Linked DNA regions of Caenorhabditis elegans. The protein of the gene in region 1 interacts with the protein of each later gene in a pairwise test. Each region holds a gene or a part of one and is shown on either strand. Other genes may lie near its edges.

What was found. The genes of interacting proteins can lie anywhere in the genome.
Region 2: the proteins of nhr-273 (region 1) and mec-3 interact in a two-hybrid assay, tested with the Caenorhabditis elegans proteins (one large-scale study listed by BioGRID).

Annotation. Positions count from the first base shown.
Region 1 is NC_003280.10:4,433,068-4,438,991, reverse strand, and holds nhr-273 (Nuclear Hormone Receptor family), read right to left. Parts: upstream 3,693-5,924; 5' UTR 3,614-3,692; coding exon 3,522-3,613; intron 3,478-3,521; coding exon 3,392-3,477; intron 3,154-3,391; coding exon 2,756-3,153; intron 2,711-2,755; coding exon 2,526-2,710; intron 2,431-2,525; coding exon 2,055-2,430; 3' UTR 1,994-2,054; downstream 1-1,993. Other genes in the region: Nuclear hormone receptor family member nhr-16, read right to left, coding at 1-80; nhr-109 (NR LBD domain-containing protein), read right to left, coding at 3,845-4,217, 4,269-4,453, 4,772-5,139, 5,372-5,457, 5,498-5,589.
Region 2 is NC_003282.8:10,457,034-10,464,636, forward strand, and holds mec-3 (Mechanosensory protein 3), read right to left. Parts: upstream 4,835-7,603; 5' UTR 4,734-4,834; coding exon 4,656-4,733; intron 4,261-4,655; coding exon 4,210-4,260; intron 4,069-4,209; coding exon 3,953-4,068; intron 3,903-3,952; coding exon 3,830-3,902; intron 3,529-3,829; coding exon 3,277-3,528; intron 3,205-3,276; coding exon 3,091-3,204; intron 3,048-3,090; coding exon 2,834-3,047; intron 2,125-2,833; coding exon 2,057-2,124; 3' UTR 1,783-2,056; downstream 1-1,782. Other genes in the region: srb-17 (Serpentine receptor class beta-17), read right to left, coding at 173-204. UniProt on the Caenorhabditis elegans protein: Transcription factor. Specifies differentiation of the set of six touch receptor neurons (TRNs).

The sequences.
Region 1 (5,924 bases):
CCAAAGTGAAATCCTTCTGCACTTTCTTGACATATTGCACATTTTAAAAATACCTTGTCTTTAAATCGAGGTCCACCCATTTTTTTGTAGAAATCGATAATAATTTATCAAATGGAAAAAAAAGAAAACTGATAAAAGTCAGAGTATGGAGAAATAGACAGAGGTGGAGACAAGAGAAATAGAGACAAGGAAAAACTAGACCACATTGACTACAAACTAAAACATAGGGAAAATTGATAGTACAGTTGGATAGTACAGCCGTAGTATCACACGTGTCAGACAAGGATGCACTGGAGTTGATGGCGGCTTTCGATCTAAAAATGAAATAACTTCCAAAACTCTCTAAACTGAGTATTTTCAAACTGGCGTATCTTGAAAAATACACATCTGGAAAACAAATGTCCAATCAACAAAATGATCAGAAATATTTTTTCTTTTTAATTCAATAATTTGTATGTCAACACACCAATTTTTTGTTGAGTTACACAGAGTCAAAGCCATTTTTCCAAAATTCATAGAAAATTTTGAGAACTCTTTTGTTGTACCCTTTATAACTCAACATTCATTGCATTTCAAAAGATAAATTTTGTTAAATAGTGAGTGAAAAAATGTTTTCCACATTTTATCAGTTTTAAGTTTTTTGATATTTTCATGTTCCGCCAAGTTATAGACCGTTTTCTGAAAAAATCCATTTTCCGCCATAAAAATCTTCATATATAACGTATCGACTTGAAATTTTGAAAAATGCTCACTTTTTTGAGGTCTCTACAATGTCCTAAAAAATCTTTCAAAAAATCCTGCCCATCTCCAAAATCGTCCTCTGCTCCAAAATAAGAAATGGGACTTTTGCTTTTCGAAAAATGGGCGAAAAAATCAAATTGCGATTTTTGGGTCGAAAAAAATATTTTTAGAATGCTGAGAACACGCTATTTACGAATTTCATATTCATTTTAGGTGAATTCTTCTTTAAAATGACCTAAAAATTAAACAAAAAGAACATAATTTTAATTCTCACGTAAAAATTTTTGGTAACTTGCTCAGTGCTTCAATTGTTTTATTGTAAATAAAAATATTTCACGTGAGAATTAAAATTATGTTCTTTTTGTTTAATTTTTAGGTCATTTTAAACAAGAATTCACCTAAAATGAACATGAAATTCGTAAATAGCGTGTTCTCAGCATTCTAAAAATATTTTTTTCGACTCAAAAATCGCAATTTGATTTTTTGGCCCATTTTTCGAAAAGCAAAAGTCCCATTTCATTTTTCGGAGCAAAGGACGATTTTGGAGATGGACAGTGTTTTTTGAAAGATTTTTTAGGACATTGTAGAGACCTCAAAAAAATGATCATTTCTCAAAATTTCAAGCCGATACGTTGTATATGAAGAGTTTTATGGCGGAAATTTGATTTTTTTGAAAAACGGTCTGTAACTTGACAATACATAAAAATATCAAAAAACAAAACTGATAAAATGTGGAAAAATATTTTTCATTTACTATTTAACAAAATTTATCTTTTGAAATTCAATGAATGTTGAGTTATAAAGGATACAATAAAAGAGTTCTCAAAATTTTTTGTGAATTTTGGAAAAATGGCTTTGACTCTGTGTAACTCAACAAATAGTTGGTGTATTCAAATAATAATTAATGTAATAAAAATAAAAAATATTTCTTTTTTTTGAGATACGCCAGTTTGAAGATACTCAGTTTAGCGAGTTTAAGCGGTTATTTGGTCCACTGAACATCTTTCCCTATACTCTCATTTTTTCAGAGAATTTTTTCAAATTTTCGATTTTCAGCTCGATTTAAATACATTCAATGTCAATGGAGAATTGGTAAAATCTGACTATATATATGCCTACCTTCTACCTACCTACCATCTATTTTCTGTACTCAGAAGCAAAGTACACTAAAGTGAGTTGAAACAAATTTTCACGTCTATTTTGGCTTTAGGCACTCCTTCAGGTAGGCGTAGGCCGTCTTTTAAGCAGATTGTCAATATATTATACATTTATCGTAAAATGAGTAAAAATTAGTTAAAACTTAAAATATGATATCAATTATAATTTCCCATCACGAGATCATAAAATTCATCGGACGGCGCATACAAGTTGAAAACTTTTGTCATTTCCAAATCATCCTGTATCCTACGAACACTTTTATGCACATCTGGTAGAATATTCACAAGAGTTCCAATTCTCACAAGAGGCTCTTCGACTTTTTTTACATTCCTCATATAAAAATCGAGTTCTTTCAATACTTGAGTTTTGATCTTATCGCCAATTTTAATGCATTCATCGCTCAATTCGATAAGTCCAGTATCCCAAAGTAACATTGTGAAGAGAGCAAGATATTCTATTATATCCATTTGAAGAGTCATCATTGGCAAGATCACTGACTTTTTGAAGCGCTCATAGGATGGCTTGAAGAGTCTAAATTTTTTAGATTTGTTGTACATAACTGATTTTTTCAGGAATAGTTGGAATATTCTAACGACATATTCCAGATCGAGTTTTTTCCTACTCACCTATTAATATCTTCACTGGAAATTTGCTTATCAGAATCTGTACCATTGTAAAATGAATTCAAATCATTTGTGTCAATATAGTCCCCAGATGGGAATGTTATTGCATCCGGTGTATTGTTCAAATGACTCGAAAATCCACTTTCCATAATGAAAAATGCGGTGTACGAGTTGTGGAACAAAATTCTCTGAAAAAAACAATCCACTTTAACTGCTAAAACCTAAAAACCTACCTTCTGATCAATCGGCAAGTTGGAAAATTCATCAAAGCTCCATGAGACCCAATCAGAAGCCAACGTGACATCCTTCATACCCTGCTTCACCGCTTCTTTGTAATTTACTGCCTTTGGAGTTCTCTTTTCAAATACAGTTTTATCTTCAGCCTTGTGAAGCGCTATCCGAGCATTGCACATTGTTTGGTAACTTGCTCGGATTTTTGAGAGAATTGGCATTTGACCCGTAAGTGGTAGTTCGAGCATCAATGAGTTGGACGTTCGGGGGCTCGAGAGTAAATCAATTGAAACTTCTTTGCGGTTTTTGGGTAGTCTTGGTTTCTGTTGAACTCCGACAGGATTCATTCCAACCTCAATGCATTTGACATAACGGCACGCACGGCACATACATCGAATATCTGAATTTTATTTATATTAAATTTTTAATAATTAAACTAATCCAAAGTTTGGTCCAAACAACTTCAAAAAAACGACCGTGATTTTTTTCAGGCGGTCCCTTTTTTCCCAAAAAATATGTTACATTTTCTTTTGCTTTTACAAAGGTACAACATGCCTGTGTAAGGAATTGATTAATATGTTATTTTTTGTACTTTAAAAATTAAATGTTAATATTTACAGAAGTTTAAAAATACTCACTAACAGTAACATCGCAATCGTTATTCCCTTGACACAAATATGTTTTACTCTGGGACACACTTCGACGGAAAAATGCTGCGCAAGCTCTGAAATCTAGGTTTTAAAGTCTGACCTATAAATAAATAAGTACCTGCAAGCTTCTGCTCCAAAGTGGAACCCATCTCCAGGTTCTCGGCAAATTGAGCATTTCGATTGATCCTTATCTTTTTGTCGTGGTCCCATTCTAGCAATTTAATTTTTTTCTTTTAAATTAATCAATAGTTTATGAACACACAAAGTGCAGAATAATGATTGATAATGGAGATAGAAAGATAAAATATGGTTTTCTGTTGATAAATAGTGAGAGGCGGAAAAGAAAAAAATTACGAGGCAATATTGCATTCATTTGAAACGTATTCCTTTGTAAGTTGAATTAGTAAAACAAATAAAACAAGAATTTTGTTTCTTTTATTCTCAGAAATTGCCAGTAACAAGATCAAAAAACTCATTGGGCGCCGAAAAAATATTAAAGACTTTAGTCATCTCCATGTCATCCTGTATTCTCCGTACGCTTTTATGAACTGCTGGAAGTAAGTTGACAATTGTCCCTATTCTAACTGATGGCTCTGCGACTTTCTTCACATTTGTCAAATAGAAATCCAGCTCCTTGAATACTTCTGCTTTGACTTTTGTGCCAATTTCCAGACATTCATCGGTGATCTCAACAAGGCCAGTATCCCAGTGGAGAAGTGTAAAAAGTGTGAGAAATTCATAGATGTCAACTTGAAGATTCATCATTGGGAGGAGCAAAGATCTCTTGTAATTGTCGTAGAACGGCTTGAACAAGCTGAAAATTTGAAAAAAAAAACGTTAAGTTTAACCATCTCTTTTCTAATACTTTTCAATATCTTCCGTGCTGATTTTTTTTTCAAAATTTGTAGAATTATAGTATCGCTCCAAGTTTTTCATGTCACAATAGTCTCCAGATGGGAAAATGACAGAGTCCGGCATATTGTTGATATGACTTAAAAATGCAGTTTCCATCATGAAAAATGGAATGTAGGAGTTGCGGAACAAGATATTCTGCAAAAAAGGAAAATTCAAAAATAGAAGTATTTTTAACATGTCTAGTTTTAGCCTCATTATTGTTCAATTTGCTCAAAAATGTTTTGACATTTTACGTAGGCATATGAAATAGGTAGACAAGCAGGTAGGTACGGCTGTAAGGCACCGCTATATTTAGATCTGCTGCATGCCTTAGCAAATGTCCTACCTACATGTCTGCCACATTTCTGAGGGCCTACCTACGCACCTTTCGCCTACCTACATGGCTACCTTTTGCCTCAAGGTATAGGGAAACATTTGATGTGTTAAAATAGCCATTTAAGTTTTCCGACTCACTTTCTGATCAGCGGATAACGTTCGAAACTCATCAAAACAAGAGGACACCCATTCAGGCATCAGCGTATAATCCTTCATTCCCTGCTGAACTGATTCTTTATAATTTATTTCTTTTGGAATCTTCTCCTCAAATACATTTTCTCCAACTTCATTGTGCAATGCTTTCCTGGCATTTCTCATATTTTCATAGTTCAATTTCATTTTTGAAAGTATTGGCATTCGACTGAACTCGTCATGATTTGATGAACTGGGAGAGATGAGTTCCTTTGATTTCCGGAAACTACCAGGCTTCTGCCGAACTCCTACAGGGTTCATTCCAACTTCGATACATTTGGTAAGTCGACATGCCCGGCACATGCATCTGATGTCTAAACAAATCAAGATAGATAATTTCAATTGGGCTTAGAGAACAAGCCGACTTGCCTGTCTGCCTGGCTTAGGCCTAGGCTTAGAGGCTTAGACTGAGCCTTATGTAGGCTTGTAAGCCCGACCTTAGTGAAAATGTTTTATTTTTTTGAAGTTTTTTTTTACAGAATGCCTTTGAGTTTATAACATAGTCCAAAATTTTGGCTCAAAACAGGTCAATTAATTTTTACTCACTAACAGTAACATCACAATCGTTATTTCCGCTACATGTATATAATTTATTTTCTGAAATACTTCTCCGGAAGAATGCAGCACATGCTCTGAAATTGTGCGATGTCTTGTATACAATTTAAATTTTACCTGCAAGCTTCTGCTCCAAAGTGAAAACCATCTCCAGATTCTTGACAAATCGAACATTTCGATTGATTTTCCCCTTTTGATCGAGGCCCCATCACGGGAAATTGGAGAAAATGGATGAGAAAAAGAAATAGAGAAAAGAGGAATTGATGATAAGAATGATAATGAGAGAGTGTATGTAGTTCTTGTAGTTGCCCAAGAGAGAGGTGGAAAACAAAAAAATTAATAGAGAAATTTTACACTTCCGGTAAAATTGGATTTGAAAATTTATTAACTTCTTCGAAAGCTTTTTTCCAGAAAATTGTTCCAAATAATTTTTTGGTCAGTTGGTTATAAATTTGTCAAATTAATTTATTCAGTTTTTTTTAAAATTTGTTTTGAAAAGTAGGATATATAATTTTCAAGTTTTCCCCCTTTTATATACACACAG
Region 2 (7,603 bases), on another chromosome or scaffold:
AAGACTAAAAAATTATTTTAGCATCTACACCAGATTCGTCTTCCGAATTAACATCTTATTATGTCTCTGTTTATTTTTTTGGAGGAAAAACGAAGAAAAAAATACACAGGAAGACGTTTTTGCATAAATTAGCTTGAGCATGCGCTCGCTTTCTGTTGTTCTTAAAACTTACTCTACTGACGAAGCTAGTTTCGTTTTGGGCATTTGGATTGTTAAGAGCAAGATGGAAATGATCTACAGGAAAGAATTGTCAAGATTATTTAATTGAAAAATACGAAATGTTTAGAAAATGTGCGAGGATGGGGAAGGTGGTTTGTTTTTTGAAGTTCAAAGTGCTTCAGAATAACTTAAAAGATAGTCGTTTGAACAGTGAGAAGTCAAAAAACTTGTACTAGGATGCAAGAAAAAATGACTACCCTAGCGATTTAAACCAAGCTTAATCAAATGTTAGTCTTCTAACACTTTTCTTCAAACTCGTTGTAATCTAGAAACTCTATGATCAAATGAACAGTAAGTGCACATTAGTTTTTAAAAATCGTCACGTCTTTAGCTCAACGATAATTATCAGGAAATTTAGCTTACTAAAGTACATATATTTTGATGAATTTACCCATAACATGTCATCGACACTACATCAACACTACGCTTTTAAATCAGCTGCACATGCTATAGGTTGCTCATTAGGTCACCAAAAGTATCAAAACATTCCACGAGTTTGTATCTATTTTGAGCTTTAAAAATTAACTTCTGATGATTTATCAACAACAGATTATCAAAAAAAACCACATGGTTTTTGTGCGGTTGGATACTCATTCTGAAACAATCGAATTTGCTTTTGAGGAGAGACATGGATGCAAGGACTACCGTAGTAATTATCCGAACTTATAAAATACGTTTAGCTTTTTAAACTATGTAGCGCACTTTTCATAAACATGAATGTTCAATGCTTCAAACCGAATCAGAAACTTAAGTAATAAATCTAAACAAAGTTAATAAAAATGTTTTGGAAAGTTGATTAAGTCAATGCGAAAACAAATCATTGAAATTTTGAAAAAAAAGCCAACAAACAAAAAAAATAGTGAAAAAAAACTACGATCATAATTCATAGCTTTATCGTTCTCCCAAACATGAATGGGTTAGAAAGCAGTATAATTAAAAACTCAAGTCTCGAGGTTCTGAAATTCCCACTTTTTTCAACATTCAGGGACAAAGACCACGGGAAAATATTTCAAAGTTTTCATGAAGAACTCCTTTGATCTGAAAGTCTCAAACGTGTGCGTCATTGGCTAATTGTACTTCAAGGGGGCTGGTTTTAGATGTTGGAAAATAAGCTAGTAATTACAGGTAAAACTAATATTTTCTCGTTCTGGGGAAGGAAAGAAAAAGTGTGGAAGTTGCGAGGAAATAGTTCACTTAGCTCAGTAAATTAAATTGTTTCTTTTTCCGAGGAACTACAACCCGTAGCAAAAACCTATTTAGTTATTGGAATAGGTATCACGAAGGCGTTGACAAAAAAACACACCTACTATATTTTAATGCTGAATTTTCAAGAAGTTTCCTCCATTAATTTTTAAAACTATTTTTATACAATTTACACAATTCTTTGACGGAAACATTAATTATAGAGTTACATAAGTCTTTTACAAGGGTTCGAAAATCTTTTGAAAACCAGCTAGTTGAACCGTTTTCTTTTACGAGGAAAACAAATCTTATTTCAATCAAGGTGACGGAATAATTGAAAATTTTCTCGTTTTTAAACCAACAAACCCAACACAAAAACGTAGCATTTAGGATTATTTTTGAATCGAGACAAAGTGTGAGAATTTTTAAGATTTCGTGATTTTATGATTCATGGACAATTAAAAATGGAATCATTGAGATCAGATTATCGACTGACATTCAATTACTTATTCGCGCAAACGTGAATATTTGAACAAGTTCAGAACACAAGTTTTGGCAAACATGTAATGAAATTCAAGATTTGGGAAGGAAAATACATTATGAAATATATATATATAAATGGAATATATTGTTTTAAAAATTAAAAAAATCTTCATCAATCTTCATCATCTTCCTCTTCGAAATTTCCGCAAAACGCGTTGAAGTCAGTTGTGTCCATTTCTTCTGAAATGAAAAAAGAGAATAAAAAAAAACAAGAATGCAAGAGCAGCAAAAAGTTCGAAAGAGCCAAGCCATTTGGTTTGTGATTTATGACGTGGCAACTCAAACTTTTCTGGATTTTTGCTTTCTGTGCGTATTCTGGTGTACTGCCACATCAGTGTTGCTTAGATTTTCGAACAAGACAACAGACAATAATTGGAAACGCGTTATATATAATTATAGGGAAACTACTCAATAATTAAACATCATGAAATTCGAAGAAAAAATTCTATGAAAATAGATTTGAACAATCAAAAATGAATGATTGAGAAACTTTAAATACAGAAAATTAGAGAAACGTGAGACATGTTTCCCTGCCTAAGCGCCTATCTATTGCCTGTTTTATGGAGTTTTAATGGAGTTTTCAGTTATAGCCGGAATTTCAGTGAACGGAATAGATTTACGCATGCTTTAAGACAGTAGGTAGGCATATGTGTAGGCACGAAACAGGCACTTATCGCCACGAAAGAAGGTAGTTTTTTTTCATCTATATAAATTATTTGCTTAGAGATTTCGGATCTGAGTTATGAACAAAGTCCGATTTGAAAAGTTTTAGTGTCAAACTTAATGTTTATGCAACAAAACAACTTGTTAAAATGTTTACTAGTCACTATCTATTTTTTGAAATTTCAGAGCTATTACTGCGTTTTCCAGATTGAATCTTTAAACTAACCATTTCTAAAATGAATTGGCGGAGGAATGAGCCCACGTTGCTCATAATGTCTCAAGTAATTGCACAAATGTTTGAGCCTCCGTTCCTTACTTCTCCGGTTTTGGAACCAAACCTGAATTACTCTCATGCTTAAACCGGTCTCCAATGCCAATTTGGCTCGAGCATGTTTCGACGGCTTTGGTGTATTCGAGAACATTTCATTCAGCACGTCCAACTGAAAATCATTATGAAAATTTCCGCTTTCTTACATTGTATACCTGATTTTGTTTGATTGTCGTTCTAGGTCCGCGTCTTTTTAGCATTCGTGAATCATCATCACAGAAATCGGAAAAGCTATAATGCTCAAAGTTGTATCCATAAGCGTCAACCTCCTAAAAATTAAATATGCAGTACATTATTCGGTATTTAATCCCTTTAAACTTTCAACGAAAAATAAAGTATACCTTTTTAACTTGGAAAGCTGATGAAAAAGATTCATCAATTGGATATGGGGCAATTGGATTTTCTGTCGAACAAGATGGTATATCAACTGCAGATCCTATTGCTCCAGGTGCGTTGTCATCCATTTGAGGAGGATAATGTGACATACAGGATACGGTCATCATTGTATCGTCAACAAGAATTTGTTCCCCCGGTGATAAATGCCGTCCACACAAAGAGCAACAATGACATTCCACATGGAACACGAGCCCAGCCTGTAAAGTTCTTTGAGTCAAACTTTACCGATCAAAGCCCCAAGCTCTATGCTTGTGCGTCTAGCAGGATCCCGTCAGAGCAAAGAGCAAAGCGTAAAAAATGATTACATCTTTCAAAACTATTAGTCAAAGCTTTGGTTTTTTTTTTAATTTGAAATTGTAGGCTTTTTGAAATCTTTCGGGCATTCCTACTGTTTATACAAAAGTAGTCAAAAATTTAATTGATAAAAAGTTGACAACTTTTTGTATAGGTTCGCTCAAAGTTTAATGTTTTCTTAAACATTCTGACCCAATTTAATACCTTCAGTTTATATACCATATCTGTCGGTGACACTCCTTTCTTGCAACCCGCACACCGATGAATACTGTGATCCCTGAAATAATGTATTTTTATTAATTCCAAGAATATTTTGCTAAAGCTTACTTATAATAATGTTGACTACAATAAATTCTCCCATTTTTCCAAAAACACTTTTCGGCCAGAGGAGACTCACATATTGTACATTTGACACAATTTTCGTGATACGATCGATTGTCCATCTGAAAATAAATGATGGCTGAAATCTTGAAATGTTGTTCGAACTATAGAAGCAAAAGAAAAATATTCAAGATTTTGAGCAGACTGTTTACAGAAGCAAAGCAAAGAAAGTTTGAAAAATCCACAAACATCAGCAAACTTACTCGATAAATATAACGATCATAAATTTGCTCATTGCAGCAATTACATTTGTTCTAGAAATATTTAAAAAAATTATAGAATGTTAGACACAAGTTTCACTAGAGATCGTATCGATAAAATGAGATTGGAAAATAGAATGAATACCAACCAAAAGTTTACACGATTGACTTTCAGAATCTAACTTTCAGAATTTTTAGAAGATGCGGTAATTTTACTTGACTCTCTGAAAGTCGAACAGAAATTTTCCCTCGTGCGGATTTTGTATAAATTTCAAATTGGAATTTCTTGACACGCAGAAGTCTTTGTAAAAACTTTCAAGCAAATGCAATGTAAGTTTTCGATTGATGTTAATTTCATTTTTCTGACTCTCAAATTGTTACTTTTAAATTTTTTTAAAGAAAAATTGTTTTCTGATGAAATTCACAACTGCTCAAGTTTAATTACTCACCTGATTTTCATGATCAACTCCAATTGAATCAATAACCATACTAATCGCACTGAGAGGCTTTGACTCTAACATTTCCATAGTTCAAATGAAATAAATCAGAAGAACAAATAACAGTGAAATTTAGAAGAAAATGCGCGAAATTGTGGCTACTCACTGTAACAAATCACCCGTCAAGAGCCAGATGTCATGTAGGCGTGGCATGCCAATCCAACAGGAGTCTCTAGACCCTGATCGATTATTAATGTGCGCTAAAACTGGTGTCTCCAAATGGTGACGATAATAGATGCATTTCTTATGAAGCTAGAAAGTGTGTGTAAGGATAAGCACTAAAAAGTTGTCTAGTTGGAACGGGCTCTCTCTATCGATCTCCTGACGGTCACTTGTGTTTTTCGGTCGATTCATTATGGGCAATGCATTTCGAATGAATTTGTTGTTTTTTCAAATGTTGTGTGAAGAATATATGGAAAGGACGTTGTAAAGTTTTATAAAAATTTGAATTTGAATAATCTTGTTCTATTACTCCATAGTTACAAAAAAAAGGAACGGAACGGCGGTGGAGAGTTTCTGACTATGCTAATTATTGGAAAATGTTATACTTGAGAATTCAGATTTTCTATACAACATTAAAAATTATGGTATGGACGTCTTCATTACTGCCAGCCTACTACTTAAAAAAAGCTTTTACAGTGAAGTTTCACCCAATCTATAGTTTGGGAGGTAAAATTCCGCGACATTTCAGTAGGTGGGTGCGTGTCTTGGCAGGAGGCATGCGTAGGTATCCTTAAAATCATATCGAATCATTTGCTCCAACTCGGCATTTGGAGGCAACTTCCTGCCAACAATTTGGCAACTTATTTTAGTGGCACTAAATAAGTTGCCAGGTTGTTGGCAGGAAGTTGCCTCTGAATGCCGAGAAGTACAAAAACTATCAGTATGTATTCATTGTTTGTTAAAAATTGAAATGCAGTCCAGAGAGTTTTCAAAATCATTTCCAAATTGTGAGCGTAACTACTCAGTTGTTGGTGTGTTTCGCTTATTTTCTCCTTTCAACTGGGTTTTTTTTTCAATTTATGTTCATTGATATTTCATGAGTTTTAATTTTCGTTTTGATTGACAGTACGGAACTGTCACAAGATAACAGTAAACCTGTCAATAATGTTAAATTTGATCTTTGTAGAAATGAAAGTACTAATTTAAATGTAAATATTTGCATTTGTGAAAAATAGAAGCCAGAAAATGAGAAAATGAAACCAAAAGTCATTTTCTAAGTAAAACGCGATATTAGAGGCTGCTGGGCAGAATTCCAAGAATTTAGAAAATTGCAGAAAACATTTGTTTTGATAAATGTCTTTAGGAATGAAATCTCAGAATACGCCAAGTTTTGCATATTTTATTATCCTTTTACAAAGTAATCAACCAGATTGTATTAATTGTTATTTCGCAACTAACAAAACCCCTCGTTTCAGTGCTCATTTTGAGTTTTAGTCAATTTCTACTCCCTTATTTGCAACTAACCATGCATATAACTGATAAAATAGGCAGATGATAAACTTGTCACTTTATTTGTTTTACAGAAATTAAAGACCCAAAATCACAATGAATGCTCTAACTTCTGCGCGTTTTTATCAAGAAACAGACTGTGTGTGATGACACACCAGCTCGGTGATAAATCAAAGAAAATGAGATCATTTTTCGTAGTTTTCCTTGAATCACAGAACTGGGCAGAAGCCTTATTCACGTGAATATGAGCATGATACGGTATTAGGTACACTTTCTGAAAAGATGAAAAATTCAATTTCTGATGAAACACATTTCTTCCTGATAAGGTAGTGAAATGGCCCCAAAAGATAAAATTTCAAAATGAAACTTTTTATAAATTCTATATTTTTTGGTGGTTAAAATTTTAACAGAGAAAGTCTGAATTTATATAAGATAACACCATTTCTATCTTCGCCAACTACTCCGGGTACCTGCAGGGCAAAATTAAAAAAAAACACATCGCTCCTCATTTTGATAGTTTATTCCGAGAGTTTTAAGATGTAATTTTTATCCATAAAAATCCGAAAATAGCACAATCGAAGATCATATAAACTGAAGATCTACCCAAATCTACAAACAACAAAATAAACGACAAAAATATGCAAAACAGGGAGACGCTTTCTAACAATTGATTTCAAAATTTTAAAATTCTAATATTTTGCATTACACCAAAAAATTACAGATTAGTATGAACTTTAGATCAAATATTACCAACTGGTTAACATTTGATTTGAAATTTCGTGGAAAATTTAAAACTACCTAAAGTTGCCAGAATTCAACATATCTTTGAAAAAGTTCTAAAAATGTTTTTAGATTGAGATTTAAATCTTATTTATGTAATTTCTTCTTTTTTCATTCCTCGTTGTCACAAAACAATTTGAAAACTATTCCTACTGACACAAAAAACCATGTGATTTCAAATAAGATAACTACAATCTACGGTTTAACAAAAAATAATTATATTTTTGCTTGACTGATAAGAGCCAAAAAGCTACTGTTTGATAATAGACATAAAACACATGAAAAAATGAAGAAAATAAAATTAAAAATCTGACACCACCATAAACGGGCCAATTTGTTGCATCGTTCTCGAATACATTCTCATTGGAAATTCAGATTGACGACCTCGACACCATTATATGTTCAGTACCTACATGGCAGTTGACGTGCACATACAACACTAGCCATCAGTTGTCTGTGAATACATTATTACATAACAGCTGCTATTTTATTGGTTCTTGAAGAACAATGAAACTAATGTTGGTTATGGGGCGAGAATTATTATCAGTAGTATCTGTCTAAAAAAAAAAGCAAAATGTGGGGTAAAAAGTGAAATAAAAGTCCCATTATCAGACGGACTACAAACTTCAGATAATAGAAACTGTATAAAGATACATGCAACGACTTTA